Elephas maximus indicus: one gene and its partner. The protein of the gene in region 1 purifies or fractionates together with the protein of each later gene. This does not show direct contact. Links are inferred from orthologs where the notes say so. Each region holds a gene or a part of one and is shown in the gene's direction. Other genes may lie near its edges.

The links.
Region 2: the proteins of SLC30A2 (region 1) and METTL9 purify together in Homo sapiens (co-immunoprecipitation; 3 studies listed by BioGRID and IntAct, with this or other methods). This does not show direct contact. The link is inferred for Elephas maximus indicus from reciprocal best matches to the Homo sapiens genes SLC30A2 and METTL9.

Annotation. Positions count from the first base shown.
Region 1 is NC_064821.1:66,542,289-66,551,671, reverse strand, and holds the start of SLC30A2 (proton-coupled zinc antiporter SLC30A2), read left to right. Parts: upstream 1-5,883; coding exon 5,884-5,933; intron 5,934-6,628; coding exon 6,629-6,849; intron 6,850-7,552; coding exon 7,553-7,699; intron 7,700-8,389; coding exon 8,390-8,543; intron 8,544-9,314; coding exon 9,315-9,383.
Region 2 is NC_064830.1:82,534,828-82,543,715, forward strand, and holds the start of METTL9 (protein-L-histidine N-pros-methyltransferase), read left to right. Parts: upstream 1-5,137; 5' UTR 5,138-5,359; coding exon 5,360-5,521; intron 5,522-8,888. UniProt on the Homo sapiens protein: Protein-histidine N-methyltransferase that specifically catalyzes 1-methylhistidine (pros-methylhistidine) methylation of target proteins.

The DNA of each region.
Region 1 (9,383 bases):
ACACATGTCCTTAGTTTGTACAACAGAATTTTCCAAATTTTTAACTTTTGTTTATATTATGCACAGTTCATTTTTAAGTCCATCCCTTTCTTCTCTCATTTTACTATAAGCAGCAAGGAGAAACCATGCAGCCCATTTAAGATCTTGCTTAGAAATCTCCACAGTCAAATATCAAGTTCATCACTTACATGTTCTACCTTCCGCTGAACACTTGAACATAATTCAGACAAATTCTTTGCCACTGCATAAAAAGCATCACCCTTCCTTCACTGTCAAGTCACAGGTTCATCGTTTCCTTTTAAAGCCTCACCACAAACACATTTAACATCCGCATTTCTAGCAACATTCTGTTGCTGTCGCCATAGTATTCTCTAAGACAATAGAGAATTTTTCTATAGCTCTCCTCACTGCCTTCTGAACCTCGCCAGAATTGTCTTTGATGTCTATAATTCTACCAAAAGTCTCTTCAAGGCAATCTAGGCTTTTACTACTAAGCATCTGAAAACTCTTCCAGCCTCTACCCATTACCCAGCTCCAAAATCATTTCCACATTTTGGGTATCTGTTAGAGCAGCACCCTACTCTCATTACCAAACTCTGTCTTAGTTATCTAGTGCTACTATAACAGAAGGAGCCCTGATGGAGCAGTGGTTAAAAGTTACAGTGAGCTACGCCTGCTAACCAAAAAGGCTGGCAGGTTGAATCCACCAGTCGCTCCTTGGAAACCCTATGGGGCATTTCTACTCTGTCCTATAAGGTCACTATGAGTCAGAACCGACTTGACAGCACGTAACAACAACAACTATAACAGAAATACCACAAGCGGGTACCTTTAACAAACAGTAATTTATTTTCTCATAGTTTAGGAGGCTAGAAGTCCGAATTCAGGGTGCCATCTCTAGGCGAAGGCTTTCTCTCTCTGTCGGCTCTAGAGGAAGGTCCTTGTCTCTTTGAGCTTCTGTTCCTGGATGATCTTCATGTGGCTTGGCTTCATGTGGCTTCTCTGCTTGCTTGTTTAATCTCTTTTAAAATATCTCAAAAAGATTGACTCAAGACACACCCTACACTAATCCTGCCTCATTAAGGCAACGAAGCCAACCAATTCCCAAATGGGATTACAACCACAGGCATGTTGTTGTTAGGTGCCATCAAGTTAGTTCCAATTCATAGTTACCCCATGTACAAGAGAAGGAGACACTGCCTGGTCCTGCACCATCCTCATAATCATTGTTATGCTTGAGTCCATCATTACATCCATTTTGTCAATCCATCTCCTTGAGGGTCTTTTCTTTTGCTGATGCTCTACATTAGCAAGCACAATGTCCTTCTCCAGGGACTGGTCCCTCCTGATAATATGTCCAAAGTATGTGAGATGAAATCTTGCTATCCTTGCTTCTAAGGAGCATTCTGGCTTTACTTCCTCTAAGACAGATTTGTTTGTTATTCTAGCAGTCAATATTCTTCACCAACACTGTAATTCAAAGGCATCAATTCTTTTTTGGTCTTCCCTATTCATTGTCCAGCTTTCACGTGCATATATACAGGCATAGAGGTTAAGATTTACAACACATATTTTCGGAGACACAATTCAATCCATAAGTCACTATCCTGTGTTTTTTTGATAACCACACACTTGCTTTTCTTTAGTTTTATCTCCCAAAGTCTCCTCCCATAGAACTATGAAAGAATTTGAGGCCAGAAAGAGAGAGGCCTAAATGACAAGTCAAGAATCTAATCCACGTCCTGTGTCTAGATTGCTTCTCCAGGTTACTGATTACTTGGGAAACAAGCATCTCAATAGCTTGTAACTTAACTGGGGGAGGGAGAGGACAGTCAAGGCTCTGTAATCAGCTAAAGCTTAAATTCCAAGACAATATCTAATTGCAAATAAGGGTATCTCTACTGTGCCATCTAAAGGATTCTCCAGTCCTTGCAAAGCAGAACACTTAAGGGTGATAAATATGGCTTTTGATCAATGGGCTTCCCTTAACATCATGCTGGAGAGAGGAACTGGCTTCAAAGGGGGCTATTCCAATGAATCCTAAATACAGTTCCATAGACTACTGCAACAAAAATCACCAGGGAAGTTTTATTTTATTTCCAAACCTTTAATTGTGGAATATTTCAAACATATTATAAAATAGAGAGAATAGTATAATGCACCCCCATGTACCCATCGCTTGGTTTCAACAGTTTGACACATCATCAATCTTGGTTCTTCTATAGTCTTACCCACTCACCCCACTGGGATTATTTTAAGGAAAGTCCCAGACAGCATATCATTTATCCTTCAATACTTTAGATAACTGTTCTTTTAAAAAATCATAACAACTATGCCATAAAATGGGCCCTGGGTGGCGCAAATGTTTAAGCACTCAACTATTAGCTGAAAGGTTAGCAGTTCGAACCCACCTAGAGGCACCTAAGAACACTGGCCTGGAGATCTGCTTCTGAAAATTTACAGCCTTGAAAACCCTATGGAGCAGTTCTACTCTGCACACATGGGGTCACCATGAGTTGGAATTGACTCCACGTCAACTAACAACATACCATAAGAAATGAACAATAATTCCACAATAGCGTCAAACACAGAGAAGGATTTTTCAGATACAGATTCCCAGGCTCCACTCCAGACCTACTGAATGAATCATTGGGCTCTAATTGTGGAATGAGGGAATATAATGTATATTTTTAAGTAACAATGTTCAGGTGATGCTGAGATCTGGGAATTGCTAGCCATTCTGTGTAGGACCTACTGGGCATCTTTGGAGAAGCCAAGTATATAATACAAATGGATCTGGCATTTTTCAGTATACTGAAGTCTTGACTAAATAACTTTTTGGTCAGTTGAACTCTTGCAAATCCACTGTAATGAATCATGGGAAAATATTAATTTAAAAGAAATCTTAAATATTTTTTCTTAATGAATGTACGTAGCTGGATTCAATTTATAAATTTGAATTTTTTTTTGGAGAATTTATGATGTCCCTTGCATTAAGGGGTAAAAGAGGGACATATGCTTATAAAGCATAACCATTTTTCCCTCAAGTAGGTTGTAAGAGCGGGTTCTGAGCATAGGGCAGAGTTTGAAACTATAACATGTGACTGAGATCGTCCAGTAAAAACTCCTCCTGGGAGCAGAAGCCACGTCAGTCCCTCTCCTCTGATTAAATGACCAACCCACCACTCATCTGTCAGCTTATACTGTGGTGGGTTGCATGTTGCTGTGAAGCTTGAAGTTAGGCGACCAGTATTTCAGATACCAGCAGGGTCACCGCTTGCGGAGCTTCTAGACTAAGACAAACTAGGAAGAAAGGCCAGGTGATCTACTTCTGAAAATTAGCCAATGAAAACCCCATGGATCACAACAGAATATTGCCCAATATAGGGCTGGAAGATGAACCTCCCCAGGTTGGAAGGAATTCTGTCTTCGTCATCTAGTGCTGCTATAACAGAAATACCACAAGGGGATGGCTTTAACAAAAAGAAATTTATTCTCTCACAGTCTAGTAGGTTACAAGTCTAAATTCAGGGCATCAGCTCCAGAGGAAGGCTTTTTCTCTCTGTTGGCTCTGGAGGAAGTCCTTGTCATCAGTCTTCCATTGGTCTGGGAGCATCTCAGTGCAGGAACCTCAGGTCCAAAGGACACGCTCTGCTCCAGGCGCTGCTTTCTTGGTGGTGAGGTCCCCAACTCTCTGCTTGCTTCCCTTTCCTGTTATCTCTTGAGAGAGAAAAGGTGGCTCAGGCCACACCCCAGGGAAACTCCCTTTACTTTGGATCAGGGAGGTGACCTGAGAAAGGGTGGTGTTACAGTCCCACCCTAATCCTCTCAACATAAAATTACACTCACAAATGGAGGGCAACCTACAGAATACTGGGAATCATGGCCTAACCATGTTAATACACACATTTTGGGGGGGGGGGACATAATTCAATCCATGACACACTCAAAATACAGTGGCTGCAATAGACTCAAGCATCCCAACAGTGGTGAAGATGGTGCAGGACCAGGCACTGTTTCATTCTGTTTTACATGGGTTGCCTTGAGCCGGAGCCAACTTCTCGGGAGCAAATAGCAACATACTAGTCTACTTCTTTATTCCAGTCCAGTCGGTGCTCAGAGCTGAGTTAAAATGTAATGGAAGTACAAGATACATCCCTGTCCTCAAAGACTTTATATAATTTAGTGGGAAGGTAAGGTAAATACATATCTGAGACCTCCTTACTCAAATGCTACTGTGCTGAAAATTCTCTGCGAATCTTGTAAATATGCAGACTCCATCCCCAGATTCCTACTCTACACACCTAGAGATTCTGATTCAGGTGGTCTCAGGTGAGGACCTGCAACTTTTATTTTAGTACCTTCTCTAGGTCATGCTGAGTCTGCTGGTCCTTCAGTTGTACTTTAAGAAATTCAGGAAGCCCAAGGGAAAGGTTTTGCACCTTGTCTCTGACTAAGATGGCTCCAGTGGGCGGAGGGACTGACGGATCCCCCTCCTTTTCCCCAGTGGTGTAGGAATGCGACCTGAGTCCACTCTTCTCTCTGTGAAGGGCCACATCTGCCAAGGCTTGGTCCTCGTGACAAGGAAGGACACTTAAGATAATGGGGCGATTGGTTAGGGAGGTTACCAACTTGAATCTCTTTCTATACAGAAGGCACCTGTTAGAGGCCAGTGTCCGGCACACAAGCTCCCGAACCCTCAGGAATCTCCCTGGGAGAATGCTGTTTCAAGCCGGTGGGGCCTAAGCCTGCTAATTCTCCCGCGGTACCACAACCCGTGGTCGAAGTACAGCACGTTCTACCTGTGTCTGCCTGGTGTTTGTATGCTGCGCTTCCTGGGGCTCCTGTAAGCTGCTGCCCCAGAGAGGGGAAGTAGTGACGGTGGGGGTGATACTGCTGGTGGAGCGCGACACTGCTCTTTGTATGTAGGAGTGGAAATAAAGCCAGTCCTCACCTGATCTGAGCCTGCAGGAGGGGAGTGGCAAGGACGGGTCTGTCAGTCCCAACCAGCCCTAAGGAGGGACATTGCCTCCAGTGTGAGGGAAGAGGCATACCCCTGCCCCTAGGAGCCCCCTAGTCTGAGGGGAAGACCAAAAGTGGGGAAATATGATCAAGCCTGAGCAGCCTCTAGTCTGAAGGTGGAAAAGGATCAAGCCCACAGGAGTCTCTCGTGTGTATGTGTGTGTGTGGGGAGGGGGAGACAGAACCCTAGCCTCAGGAGCCCCTATTCCGAGGTGAGGAGCCACATTTCCGCCCTCCGAGAACCCAAAGGGGATTTGTACAGACCAGGGTCCGAGAACTTTTTCGTGGGATGAGACCAGCCCGGCGGAGGAGAGTGGGCTCAGCACTCGCCCAGCACTAACTCAGTAACACTCAACGGCAGAGCTGGGCCCAGGCAGCCGGGCTTTTCGTCGCAGACCAGGTTGGCTTCTCTGGCCACATGGGCGCAGGGGACCGCTGCTCGGGGGCAACGCCTGGGCGCCTTTTGCAGCCGATCATCCCCTCCCCCTTCCCTGCAGGCTTTTGCACACGACGCGCCGCGGGCCGCTTCACACGGGGTGGTGGGGCAGGATAAAGCAGGGCAGGTGCGGGGCGCAGCGGCCCGGGCGGAGAGCGAGAGCGCTGCGCTGGAGCCGGGAGTGCAGCGGCTTGGCCCGGGACGACTAAGGCACCGGCGGGCGCGCGGCAGAGCCGGCGGCTGGGGGCGCACACGCCTGGGTGGCGGGAGCGGGCACGCGGGGCCCTCCCGGCTTGTGGGTTTCGAATTCTCCCAGCAGGTGGGTGCGCGCGCGCTGCGGAGTGTCCCTAGCGCAACTTTGAGGCACACTCGGCGGGGCGGCTGGCTCTCGGCGGCAGGACCCAGCGCGGGGCGCGTGGTGCCACATGGAGGCCACAGAGAAGCAGCATCTGTTGGACGCCAGGCCTGGAGCTCGGTAAGGCGGGAGCCTGGGGAGGAGCGGGAGTTTGCGCGGCATCAGATGCACCTCCTCGTTAGCCATCCTGGCAGTTTTGGCGGCATCTTGAACTGGGATCACGCAGGAAGGATGGGGTGAGGTGGGCGAATGGGGAAATCGAACGTGATCCCGGGGATCATACCTTCCTTGAGGCCGAGCGCAGACCCTGACCCCAGCCGGCCAAGGGAGAGGGGAGAGTGGGCTGCTCGGAGCCCCGCCCCTGGTTCAGCACTTTGCTCCCTGGCAGCCCCGCCCTGGGGAGGCGCTGTGCCCCCAAGTGCGCGGAAGAGGGAGGGGAAAAGGGAGGGAAGGTCTGCGCTTCTCCCCGAAGTCTGAGCTCTGCTCCTTCTCCAAGCTCCGCTCGGGTAAACCAGCCCAGCCCCTTGGCCAGTTCCCAAAGTATTCCGCTTCCTCCAGGCCCAGAAAGGGATAGAGGAAGAGTAACCGCACAGGCCAAGGCCCCCAAGACTCCTGCGCTGGCCATTCCCCCAGTCTTTCCTCCCCCAGCTCTGTCTTCTCACCTTCTCCTCATTCCTCAGGGACTGTCAGAGGTCAATGCCATCCTCTGCATGTGTCCAATGGAGACACCAAGGCCCACAGCAAGCTGGGGCAGAGTCAGGCCTCCTTGCCCCATCACAGAGCTGAATCTCCTCTCTTCCTCCCTCTCTGGCCAGGTCATACATGGGATCTGTATGGCAGGATGGGGCTGGCTGGATCCCTCTGCCCCAGCGTGGCCTAGACTTGCAGGCCATTGAGCTGGCCGTCCAGAGCAACCACTACTGCCATGCTCAGAATGATCCTGGCAGCCACTATGACCCCAAGAAGGAGCGAGCTCGGCGCCAGCTCTATGTGGCCTCTGCCATCTGCCTGGTGTTCATGATTGGGGAAGTTGTTGGTAAGAACTTCTGTGCTAATTAAGTGAAGTAAGGGCATGGACTGGATGATCCAAAAGACTTTTCTCCTGGATTTTCCCAGTAACATTAATAGCCTCATTTATTGAACACTCACTGTGTTAAGCCCTTTATATACACACTATCTCATGCAGTCTTCACAACTCATGCTGTCATATGGGTGCTCTTTTCCCTATTTTAGGGAAGAAGAAACTGAGGCAGGTTATGGGTCAGCAACTTGCCCAAGATTACACACAGCTAGTAGGAAAAGGAGGGCCTGAATGCCTAGGAGAGAGCATTTACTGAGTACCTATTACGTTTTTGGAGCCTTGGTGACACTGTGGTTAAGCATTTGGCTGCCAACCAAAAGGTCAGCAGTTCAAATCCACCAGCTGCTCCTTGGAAACCGTATGGGGCAAGTCTACTCTGTATTATAGGGTTGCTATGAGTTGGAATTAACAGCAACGGGTTTACCATGCTTTTCATCCTCTAAGTAGATGTTATTATCCCCATTTTGTGGATGTGGATGTTGAGGCTCAGAGAGTAAGTCACTTGCCCAAGGTCACACAGCTAATGGGTAGAGAGGTCTCAAACTCAGTGTGTCTGTCTCCAGAGTCTGTGGTCTCTCCATTGCACACATAGTCTGGGGGGGTTGGCTCCTTGGGGAGCTGATGAGGACCTTCCATCCTTATGGCTCTTCCCATGTAGGTGGGTACCTGGCACATAGCTTGGCGATAATGACCGATGCAGCCCACCTGCTCACTGACTTTGCCAGCATGCTTATCAGCCTCTTCTCCCTCTGGATGTCCTCCCGGCCGGCCACCAAGACCATGAACTTCGGCTGGCAGCGAGCTGGTGAGGGCCCTGGTCAGGCTCTAGATGTACTTGGGGGAGGGGACAGGTCAGGACCTGGATTCTCAGGTGGCTGCAATTGGTGGAGCCCTGAATGAGGCCAGGAGGGTGACCTGGGTGGAGGAAGAGGATGTCAACCCTGGTCTCTGTCCTGAGGGAATTCCCAGTCTGTAGGGAAGGAGAGATCACATTCCTGAGAAGTACAACAGCCAACTTCAAAAACATATGACTATGGCATTAATCCTGTATGGAACTCTATGGATCAGCTCTAGGGGGAGGGCAAGGTCAGCAAAGCCTTCTGGAAGATACAGGCTTTAAACCTTCTTTAATTCACCTCTGGGCTGCATTGTCATTTTCCTCTTGGAGATGGTCCAGCCTCTCCTTAGAAGCCTCAGTTTGCCAGCTGACCAATGCATATATATTTTAATAAGTCCTTTATTTTTTTTTTTTAACATGTCAAACAAGATAGTTTGACCCAAGTGACTTCTTAAGTCCCTTCTAGCTCTGATGTCCTCAGCTATATGAGTAGTAGAGTGAGGTGCAATGTGCCACCTGTACCCTCAGCAGAGTCCAGGGGCACCCAGGCCCTGACTTTGCATTCTGGGGTGAGGGAGGTCATGGAGGGAAGGGGAGGCTCCCTCAGCCCTAGGGCCACACGCTGAGGTTGGTATTGGGGGTCTGGTTCTTCCTCAGAGATCCTGGGAGCCCTGCTGTCTGTGCTGTCCATCTGGGTGGTGACCGGGGTGCTGGTGTACCTGGCGGTGGAGCGGCTAATCTCTGGGGACTATGAGATTGAGGGGGGGACCATGCTGATCACATCGGGCTGTGCAGTGGCTGTAAACATCATGTGAGTGTGGCTTCAGTTACCCCACAGTCCCCTTTCCCCCCACCTTTCACACACACACCCATGTGCCCACTCTTGGTGGAAGGAGGCCATGCCACAGTCCAGCGGCCATGCCAGAAATTCCCTGGTGATCTGAGCTCTGGCACCTTGGACACCTGGGTCCTGTTTTAGGCCTAGCCCAAGGCCTTTTGGAGCTGCAATCTGGGCCACCATCAATTCCCTTCCCTCCCTTCCCCCATACATGTCAGTAAATAACCTTGGAGGCTTCATACCTGAAGAGGGGGAAGGGGAATCTATTACCTGCAGGAACAGATGTCTCTGGGCCAGAATCAAATCCAAGTCCTTTCAAGCTGATGTTCCTGAAATTAGTCTCTGTGAGTAGCAGTGGTGTGCACAGCATTGGTGTCTCACTGAGACTCTTTCTCTCCCTTGCTCAGTGGCCTTGGGCGAGCTACTTCCTGTCTCTAGGCCTCAGCTTCCCCATCTGTGACATGTGGTGGAGAGGGGACTAGACGGCCTCCTATGTGCCCTTCTGCTCTGAGATTTGGTACTGGGCCAGCAGTGTGCTCAGACTCAGCCTGGCACTGGGGCTGAGCCCTTTCTCCTGTGGGACTTTGAAGCAAGGCCATGTGGGCTGGGCCACTCACATGGCCAAAGGGATCCCACAGAGTCTGGGATGGGGAGGGTGTTTTTGCCCCACAGGAAGGCCAGCCATAATGGCGGCCTGTACCTGCTACCTCAGTGAATCACTCAGTCCTGTCTCCATTTCTGTAGAATGGGGCTGACCCTTCACCAATCTGACCATGGGCACAGCCACGGCCACAGCCACAGCCACAATACCAG
Region 2 (8,888 bases), on another chromosome or scaffold:
AAAGAAGGCTGACAGCAAACAACTTGAATTTGCTGCCTGATTTTGTGACTTCAAGTTTGAATGTTTTATAGTTTCGTGTTTTATATTCTTGACCCCCCACTCTCGTGGTCACTCCCCTTAGTTTGAAATCTCCAGACAGGAGTCTGGGGATGGATATATGATGAGGAGAATCTACCATTGTAGGTTTTGAGGATATTTTATGGAGGATTTGCAGAGGCTACAAGCACATCAGGACTGAGCATCCTTATTCTGATAACCTTGGTTAGCTGTTTTACAGTTTATGAAGCTGTCGGATCATCTGAGTCTCACAGACATATTGTGAAGTAAGCAGCTCAGACTTGTGGCCCTCATTTTATAGATGAGGAAACAGGCTCAGAAGAGGTTGATTTATCCAAGTTTATTCCAGTGTATACTGTGTGTTGAGGCACTAAACCCTTTATATGAAGAATGTATAATTTAATCCTCACAACAATCTCAAGAGATCAAACCCTTTATATGAAGAATGTATAATTTAATCCTCACAACAACCTCAAGAGATCGGTAACCATTATTAATATCACCATTTTATAGATGGGGAAACTAAGAACTGAAGAGATTAAGTAATTTGCCTCAAGTTGCATAACTAAGAAGTGTTGTGCCAGGCTTCAAAACCAGGTGGTCTGAAAGATTAGAGAGGCCCATAAAACAAAATGAGATTAAAGGGGCACACCAGCCCAGAAGCAAGGACAAGAATGCAGGAGAGCACAGGAAAGCTGGTAATGGGGAACCCAAGGTCAAGAAGGGGAGAGTGTTGACATGTTGTGGGGTTGGCAACCAAAGTCACGAAACAATATGTATATTACTTATTTAATGAGAAACTAATTTGCTCTGTAAAGCTTCATCTAAAGCACAATAAAAACAAACAAAAACAAACTGGTGGTCTGTTTCAACCTGTTGCTGTTGAGTCGATTCGGACTCACAGTGACCCTATAGGACAGGGTAGAGCTGCCCCACAGAGTTTCTAAGGAGTGCCTGGTGGATTTGAACTGCCAACCTTTTGGTAAGCAGCTGAAGCACTTAACCAGTATACCACCAGGGGTCCTAAAAGCGCAGGATAAACCACTATGCTAATGAGTAGCACTGGGAGCTCTCCAAGGGAGTAAGCTGTGTTATTTGTACTTACTCTATGTTAAGAGGAAACCCTGGTGGCATAATGGTTAATTGCTATGGCTGCTAACCACAAGGGTTGGCAGTTTGAATGCGCCCTTGGAAACTCTATGGGGCAGTTCTACTCTGCCCTATAGGGTCACTATGAGTAGGAATCGACCAGACGGCACTGGGTTTGGTTTTCTATATTAAAAGGAAACCCTGGTGGTGTAGTGGTTAAGTGCTATGGTTGCTAACCAAAAGGTTGGCAGTTTGAATCCACCAGGTGCTCCTTGGAAACTCTGTGGGGCAGTTCTATTCTGTCCTATATGGTTGCTATGAGTTGGAATCGACTCGACGGCAATGGGGTCTATATTAAAAACAAAACAAAAAAACCTGTTGCCTTAGAGTCGACTCTTAGCAACCCTGTAGGACAGAGTAGAAAGGCCTCATAGGGCTTCCATGGAGTGGCTCCTGGTTCAATTCTGCCTACTTCATGCTATTACTTTTTAACTGTTTATAATTTCATCTTGACTTGGAATTTATCAGAGCCACAGTGATATGACTTGCATATGATTGAAATTACTTTAGCTAAATTAAAATAAAAATCCCACTGTTGTTCCATGCTGTTGCGTCCATTCCAACTCATAGCAACCCCATGTGACAGAGCAGAACTGCCCAACAGGGCTTTCTGGGGTGTGATCTTTGTGGAAGCAGATTGCCAGGTCTCTCTCTCACAGAGCAGCTGGGTGGGTTTGAACCACCAACCTTTCACTTAGCTGAAAGCTTAACCATTGTGCCACCAGGGCTCCTTAAAAACTCCCTACACTTCACTAATTTTATTTTTTAGAGGTGCTTATTGCTTAAGAAGCACAGCTATTGAATATATTGGGGAAAACTTGTACTTTTCTCTGACACTTTACAAAATGTTATTAAGAAGCATTAAAAAAAAATCTGGGGCTTCCTGGGGGAGGGTAGTGTGTTCCTTTTTGGGACATCGAAGTTCCACGTTGGGAACCCTCCCAGACCTCCCCCTGTGTCTCTTCATTTCTATCCTTTTTGTTATAATAAAACTGTAATCACATATCTGGACACAGGCTCCACTCTATGGATTCTGGTTGGAGGCCCATGGGGCCTGTGCATCAGCCCTGCCTTTCAGACCCACTGGGAGGGCAGCCTCTCCCTTAGCTCGGGGTGGCCCCATTCTCCTGGTACACTTGAGTGGTGACCCCACCCCTTTCGCCCCACGTGGCTTAGTTCTCCTGGCCCACTGACACAGAAGCCTTGCCCCTTCAACTTTGGACGGTGGCTGTGTTAGCTGGTATCAGAACAGAATTGGTAATAAATTGGTTTGGATCAATTAACACCACACACACACGCACACACACACACACACACACATCTAAGCCCATGAACATGTGATATGAGTTCTTTCAGGATAATATCCCCTCAGGGAGATGGCAAGACCAACAGTGACCAGCATGTTTGCTACACTGTACAGATCCAAGTCTCTCACCCTTTGGGTTGTCTTAAGATTATACACTTTGTAGTTGAAAAGAGAACATGAAAATGCCATGACTTGTAGCTTAAGAGGAAAAAAAAAAAAAAAGCCCCTCTCTAGAATTCTAGGTAGGAATGTAATCCAGTCAAAATTCCAGGCCTGTGCACAAGGCTGTGACCCAAGGTTTCCACCAACTCGATACCAAGCTAGACACCTGAGCTCCTGGTCAGGAGGGCAGTGAGAAGAGGTTGGCACAGAAGGTGTCAGCTATGTGTCTTTTGAATATCACTGACTGAATTTCGAAGTCAAGTTAGAAAGGATATTGGTTCATCTCTGGATTTTTGTGTTCTTTGTGCGTCTTCCCCTCTCCATTATGGATAACTGAGGTTTTAATATACAGTGGTGACATTCTAGTAGATGAAGGAAAGGGGCAGTCTCTGAGGGCCATCTGAACTTCTGCTTAGTATATTTACTCTTGCTGTTTTCCTTCCTCCTCATTTGTAATTCAGGAGGCTCTCTGAAAAGAGAGAGAGACAGCGAGGCTTCTCAGATGGATCGGAGGACCAAGAGCTGGGATACCAAGTTCTATGATAAGGTCTGCTATTGAATTTGCTCTGCTACCTTTAGGCAAATCATTCGATCACACTGTGCTTTGGTTTCTTCCTGTGCTTGTTAAGTGTAAATAACATGCATTGAATATTTTGTGATTACTATAGAGTGTTTTAGATGTGTGGGTGGTCTATTGTTCTAGGTTGGCTGCTCAGGTATAAGGCAAAAATCTGTTCGTTTGAGATGCTGGGCTTCTGGGAGTCAACTGACCTCAAGCCCTTCAGGCTGCAGCAGCATCTAGTTGCTTCTTGTTCATCTGATACATTTTGCAGTCTCTGAGTAGCAGTGCAGCAGGCTTACTCTATGGTTGGGGGGGGGCATACCTTTTTTTTCTCCTTTGTCTTCAGAAATGAAATATGCCATTTTATGCAGTACTACTATTTCTACCCCCCCACCCCTCCCACTTTGAAAAGGTGAAGGCTTTCTTTTGGCACTGATACCAAGAGACAAGAGGCAGAGGTGACATAGTAAACAAACTGAGTTATTTGGACTTGTTACTATAATTCCTTCTTGATGATTTGAGCCCAAGACCACTAGAGGTTTGAAGCAGATTTAGTAAGGTGCAGGCTCTTTGGGGTTTTGGCAGGAAGCAGTCAGGGAGTATTTTTTTTTTTAGTCAGGGAATATACAGAACTGGAAGGAGAGGACAAAGTACCTCTCTGCCCCACCCTTTTTTTGTTAGAGGCTATGTCACATTAGGTAACAAGATATCCATGTTAGTGAAATGTGCCAAGCTGAGATTCTTAGAAGCTAATAGAAATATTTGTGGATAAGGTACTATTTTGTTTCTCATCAGTGGATGACCTCACCACCGTTGCAGAAATGAAAAGCTCTGAAGTGCAATATGGCATGAACTGAGGGGTTTCTTCCTTTTGTTTTGAACTAAAATAAAATGTATTTACATTATTTCTGGTTCAGTTAAATTAAAATCATTTTGTAAACAAACCAACCCAAGAAGGCGTTATTAAAGTTAAAAGGACGCGTGAAACATGTTACTCCTTAGTTGCAGCTTGAGTAGCAGCAGAAAGAACGTTAGACACAGTGTAACCCTTCAGTTTTGAGAGGTTGCTAGGTCTCCTCGGGCTATAAATGATCAAAGAAACATCCGGGTAAATACTGCTCCCAGAGCTTACTTCGCCTAAGAGTGTTGGTTCCAACTTTGGTCTGTGAGTTCAAAGAAAGAGCACCTAGAGACACTAATTTGGGGTCTTCATCCTTGGGCAGAGTCATCAATACATCAAAACATTACCTGCGGGTGCCCCAGCTGCAGTAGCTTTCAACAAAGGCAGAGCTTTCCTCGATGCCTCTTAGAAACATGCAGCCAGCAACTGGCCAGACTTGGGGGAACCGAGGTGGTGGTGGTAGCGATGATATTCTCTTTCCCTAGATTCCTGTCTGCTTTGCAGCTCCTGCGAAGCGAGGTGGAGGCCCTTGGGATAGGGTTCTGGCTTGTCAGCTCGTAGTCGTGCTCGTAACAGCTAAGAACTGGCATCGTTGGTCCATGGGAAGGACTTGGGTCTGAATCTTTGGATGCACGAACGCGATGAGACCCACCCCAGGCAATCTGCTCCACAAAGTGCAAGTCCTTCCTGGGGGTGGAATGACGAGCCCACTGGCAAAGGCTAAGGCGAAGACAGACCTGAGGTCTTGCAAGCACTACCTTGGAAGGAGGGGAGGCTTCAGTTACCGCTTTCGGAAGTGAGCTCCCCTCCCCTAAAAAATTTACATGGTCTCCGCCATTACGTGGGGCCGCGCTAGAGACGGCCGGCGGGGGCGCGCGCCAGGCGAATGCGCGCTCCCTTTGTGCCACCTCCCAGCCGGCCTGCTGATTGGACCAAGGGAGCGCGCCCCGGCGAGAGCGCGCCCCAGCAGCTCGTACGTGCTCCGGGTGGAAACCGGCGCCGTGGGCGGCGGCGTTCCGCGGCGGAAAGGAAGGAGGCGGTGGGAAGGCCGTGCGCTGGCCGCTCCTCCCCGCCCCCCTGCCTCTGCCCTGGAGGGGCTGGATGGGCAAGTTGAGCGCGATGGCTCGAGCCTGGGCGGTGGCGGTGGTGGCCGGAGGCGGCGGCGCCTCCTCCTCCTCGCCCCGGCGCCGGCGGTGATCGGAGTGAGCGGCCGCGGCCCCCGATGAGACTGTTCGCGGGCTGGCTGTGCCTGAGCCTGGCGTCCGAGTGGCTGGCGCGGAGGATGTGGACGCTGCGGAGTCCGCTCCCCCGCTCCCTGTACGTGAACATGACGAGCGGCCCAGGCGGGCCGGCGGCGGCCGCGGGCAGGAAGGAGAACCACCAGGTACGGGAGCCGGGCCCGGCCGGGGTCGGCATCCGGCGGGGGAGCGGCGGCCCGGCCTTCCCGCGCTCGGCCCGGCCATTGTGCGGCGCAGCGCGGCAACAGCGCCGCGGGCCCTCGCCCCGCCGCCGGCGCCCGGAAACTTTTCCCCGCGACTTCCCCCCGGGCCCCGGCCCGCGACCCCCGGGCGCCCGGCCCGGCCCTGCGGCGCCTTTTGTTCCCCGGCGCGGGCGGAGGCCGGCTTCCCCTTCCCCCTCCGCGGGCCCGAGCGTGGGCGCCCGGAGCCCTGCATTGTTCCCGGGCCCCCGGCGGGGCTGGCAGAGGCCCCTCGGCGCCCGCTCCCGGCGGCAGGACGCGGAGAACTTCGGGGCCGGCGGATGGCGAGGGTCACCCGCCTGACAGCGAGGCCTGGGATGAGGACAGCCCTCATAGCCTAAGGGGCACAAAACGAAAAGCCGGCCCCTCTTTTTGTCTCGTTGAATCTCTGAACATACAAAGGGTTGTGAGAAATTGAAACGTGCGTCGTGAGCCATTTAACTCTCCGGGCTTATTCGGGTGACATTTTCCCTAAGCGCTTACGTGTGTGAAAGGTCCTCACGCCCATCCTACTGAGCCTTCCCCTCCTACCCAAGAGAGATCTCCTTTAAACTTCGATTTAGGCATCTGACCAGAAGGATGCATAAAGAGGAAAATGATGTCAGCTGTTACAGGAAGGGCTTTTAAAACAACACCTGGCAGGACTGAATTCTTTTTAAGAGTTATAGTTGTGGGTCGTGAGCGATGCGATAGGATCGGTTACCATCTTATTATTAGCTCCAGTTTAGTGCCATTTCAAAGAAGGATGTGCAGGTCAGCAGTCGAATTAAGAGTGAAATATTTTGTGTTTGATCATACTGTAAGTTTGCGGTTAGCATTACATTCATTTAAAAGAGGCTTTTGGTCGCGGCCAGAAAGTTGACTCACAATAGCTTGCATTTATAGTACATTTTACCTATTCTGAGAACTCCCCATATAACCTTGTGCAGGGATCATTTTCATGGATTTCTTATTTTTCTTTGTTACTTTTCTTATTCGAGGTATTCAGAGAGTTTACGCCAGGTTGATTTTACGTGTTTTTTTTTTTTTTTTAAGATAACATTTGTTTATTATTTATTTATTTATTTATTATGCTTTAGATGAAGGTTTACAGAACAAACTAGCTTCTCGTTAAACAGTACCCATATTGTTTTATGACATTGATTACTAACTGCATGACATGTCAACACTCTTCCTTCTCGACCTTGATTGGATACCCTATTAGCAGCTTTCCTGTCCTCTCCTGCCCTCTAGTCCTTGCCCCTGGGCTGGCGTGCCCCTGTAGTCTCGTTTTGTTTTATGGGCTTGTCTAATCTTTGGCTGAAGGGTGAACCTCAGGGGTGATTTCATTACTGAGCTGAAACGGTGTCTGGGGTCCATAGTCTCAGGGTTTCTCCAGTCTCTGTCAGGCCAGTAACTCAGGTCTTTTTTTGTGAGTTGGAATTTTGTTCTACATTTCTCTCCAGCTCTGCCTGGGACCCTCTATTGTGATCTGTCAGAGCAGTCGATGGTGGTAGTTGGGCACGATCTAGTCGTACTGGACTCAGTCTAGTGGAGGCTGTGGTAGTTGTGGTCCATAAATCCTTGGGACTAATCTTTCCCTTGTGTCTTTAGTTTTCTTCACTCTCTGTTGCTCCCGAATGGGTGAGATCATTGGAGTATCTTAGATGGCTGCTCATAGGCTTTTAAGACTCCAGGCACTACTCACCAAAGTAGGATGTAGAACATTTTCTTTATAAACTATGTTATGCCAATTGAGCTAGACATTCCCCGAGACGATGGTCCCGACAGCCCTCAGTGATTTCATATGTTTTAATGAAAATAAAGAATTCTAGGAAGGAGGTAAAGCAGCTCATTCGGAAAAGTAACATACAGTTTTGATTAAGCAAGTATTTGTAGTAGTGCTTTTTCTGTTTTAAAGGATATCCTAAATGTCTATAAGATTTTTGGTAAACCCCCAGCTATCACAATTTGTTAGGCGATCAACTCCTATGATATCATTAGGTGTGTACATGAAGTTCGTAGGCAATCTTAAATTGTAAAGCCACGTTGATTGATTTGGATTTATTACTTTTTTTTCCTAAATTTTATTTTGTTGTTGAGAATATACACAGCAAAACACTAGTTCAGCAGTTTCTACATGTATAATTTAGTGATGTTGATTACATTCTATGAATTATGCAACCATTCTCACCTCCTTTTCTGAGTTGTTTCTGCCTCATTAACATAAACTTAATGCCCCCTAATGTTTCTGTCTAATCTTTGGAGTTGCTGTTGTCAGTTTGTTCCCCTGTGGATAGTTCTTAAAAGAGCATAATGCTCAAGGCAGACCTTTTTTACTAGTTAAGCCAAACTGTTGTTCAGTTTTAAGATGACTTCAGGGAATATTTTTGGTTTAAGGTTTAAAGATTATCTCAGGGCAATAGGTTCAGGGGCTCATCCACCCTCTGGCTCTAGAAAGTCTAGAGTCCATGGGAATTTGAAACTTCGTTTTACATTTTCCCCCTTTTGATCAGGATTCTTCTATGCAGTCTGATCAAAATGTTCAATATTGGTAGCCAGGCACCATCCAGTTCTGGTCTCATGGGAAGGGAAGCAGTTGTTCATGGAGGTAATTAGCCAAACATTCCACACCCTCTTCCTGCTTCTCACTCTTGTTCCTCTGTTGCTCCAGGTGAATGGAGTTAAGTTGTTGTGCCTTGTTTGGCCACTTGTAAGCTCTTAAGACCCCAGGCACTACTTAACAAACAAGGAGGTAGAAGAGAAGCAGTAAACAGATTATTAGGCCAGTTAACTGGGGTATCCCATGAAACCATGACCCTAAACCTCCAGACAAAGGAACCAAATCCCATTTCGCTGTTCCTAAACAGCCTCAGCAGCTACTCTTTTTGTTGTGATATATTTCGTTGTTGTAAATATATCACACAACTTTTGCCAATTCAACTTTTAACAGGTGTATAACTTACTGACAGCAATTATGATAATAAGCCGTGCAACTCTACCCTTAATGCCATTTTTCCCTCACTGTTAGTTGCTCCCCCCATAACCACTAATGATAAATTTTGGTCTCCATTCATTTGCCTTTTCTTGTCTTTTTATATAAGTGAGCTCATACAGTATTTGTTCTTTAGTGATTGGCTTATTTAACTCAGCATAATGTCTTTAAGCTCCATCCATACTGTAGCATGTATCAAGATTGCATTTCTCCTACTGGCTGAGTAGTATTCCCTTGTATGTATGTACCACATTTTGGTTATCCTTTCATCTGTCTATGGATATTTGATTATTTGCATCT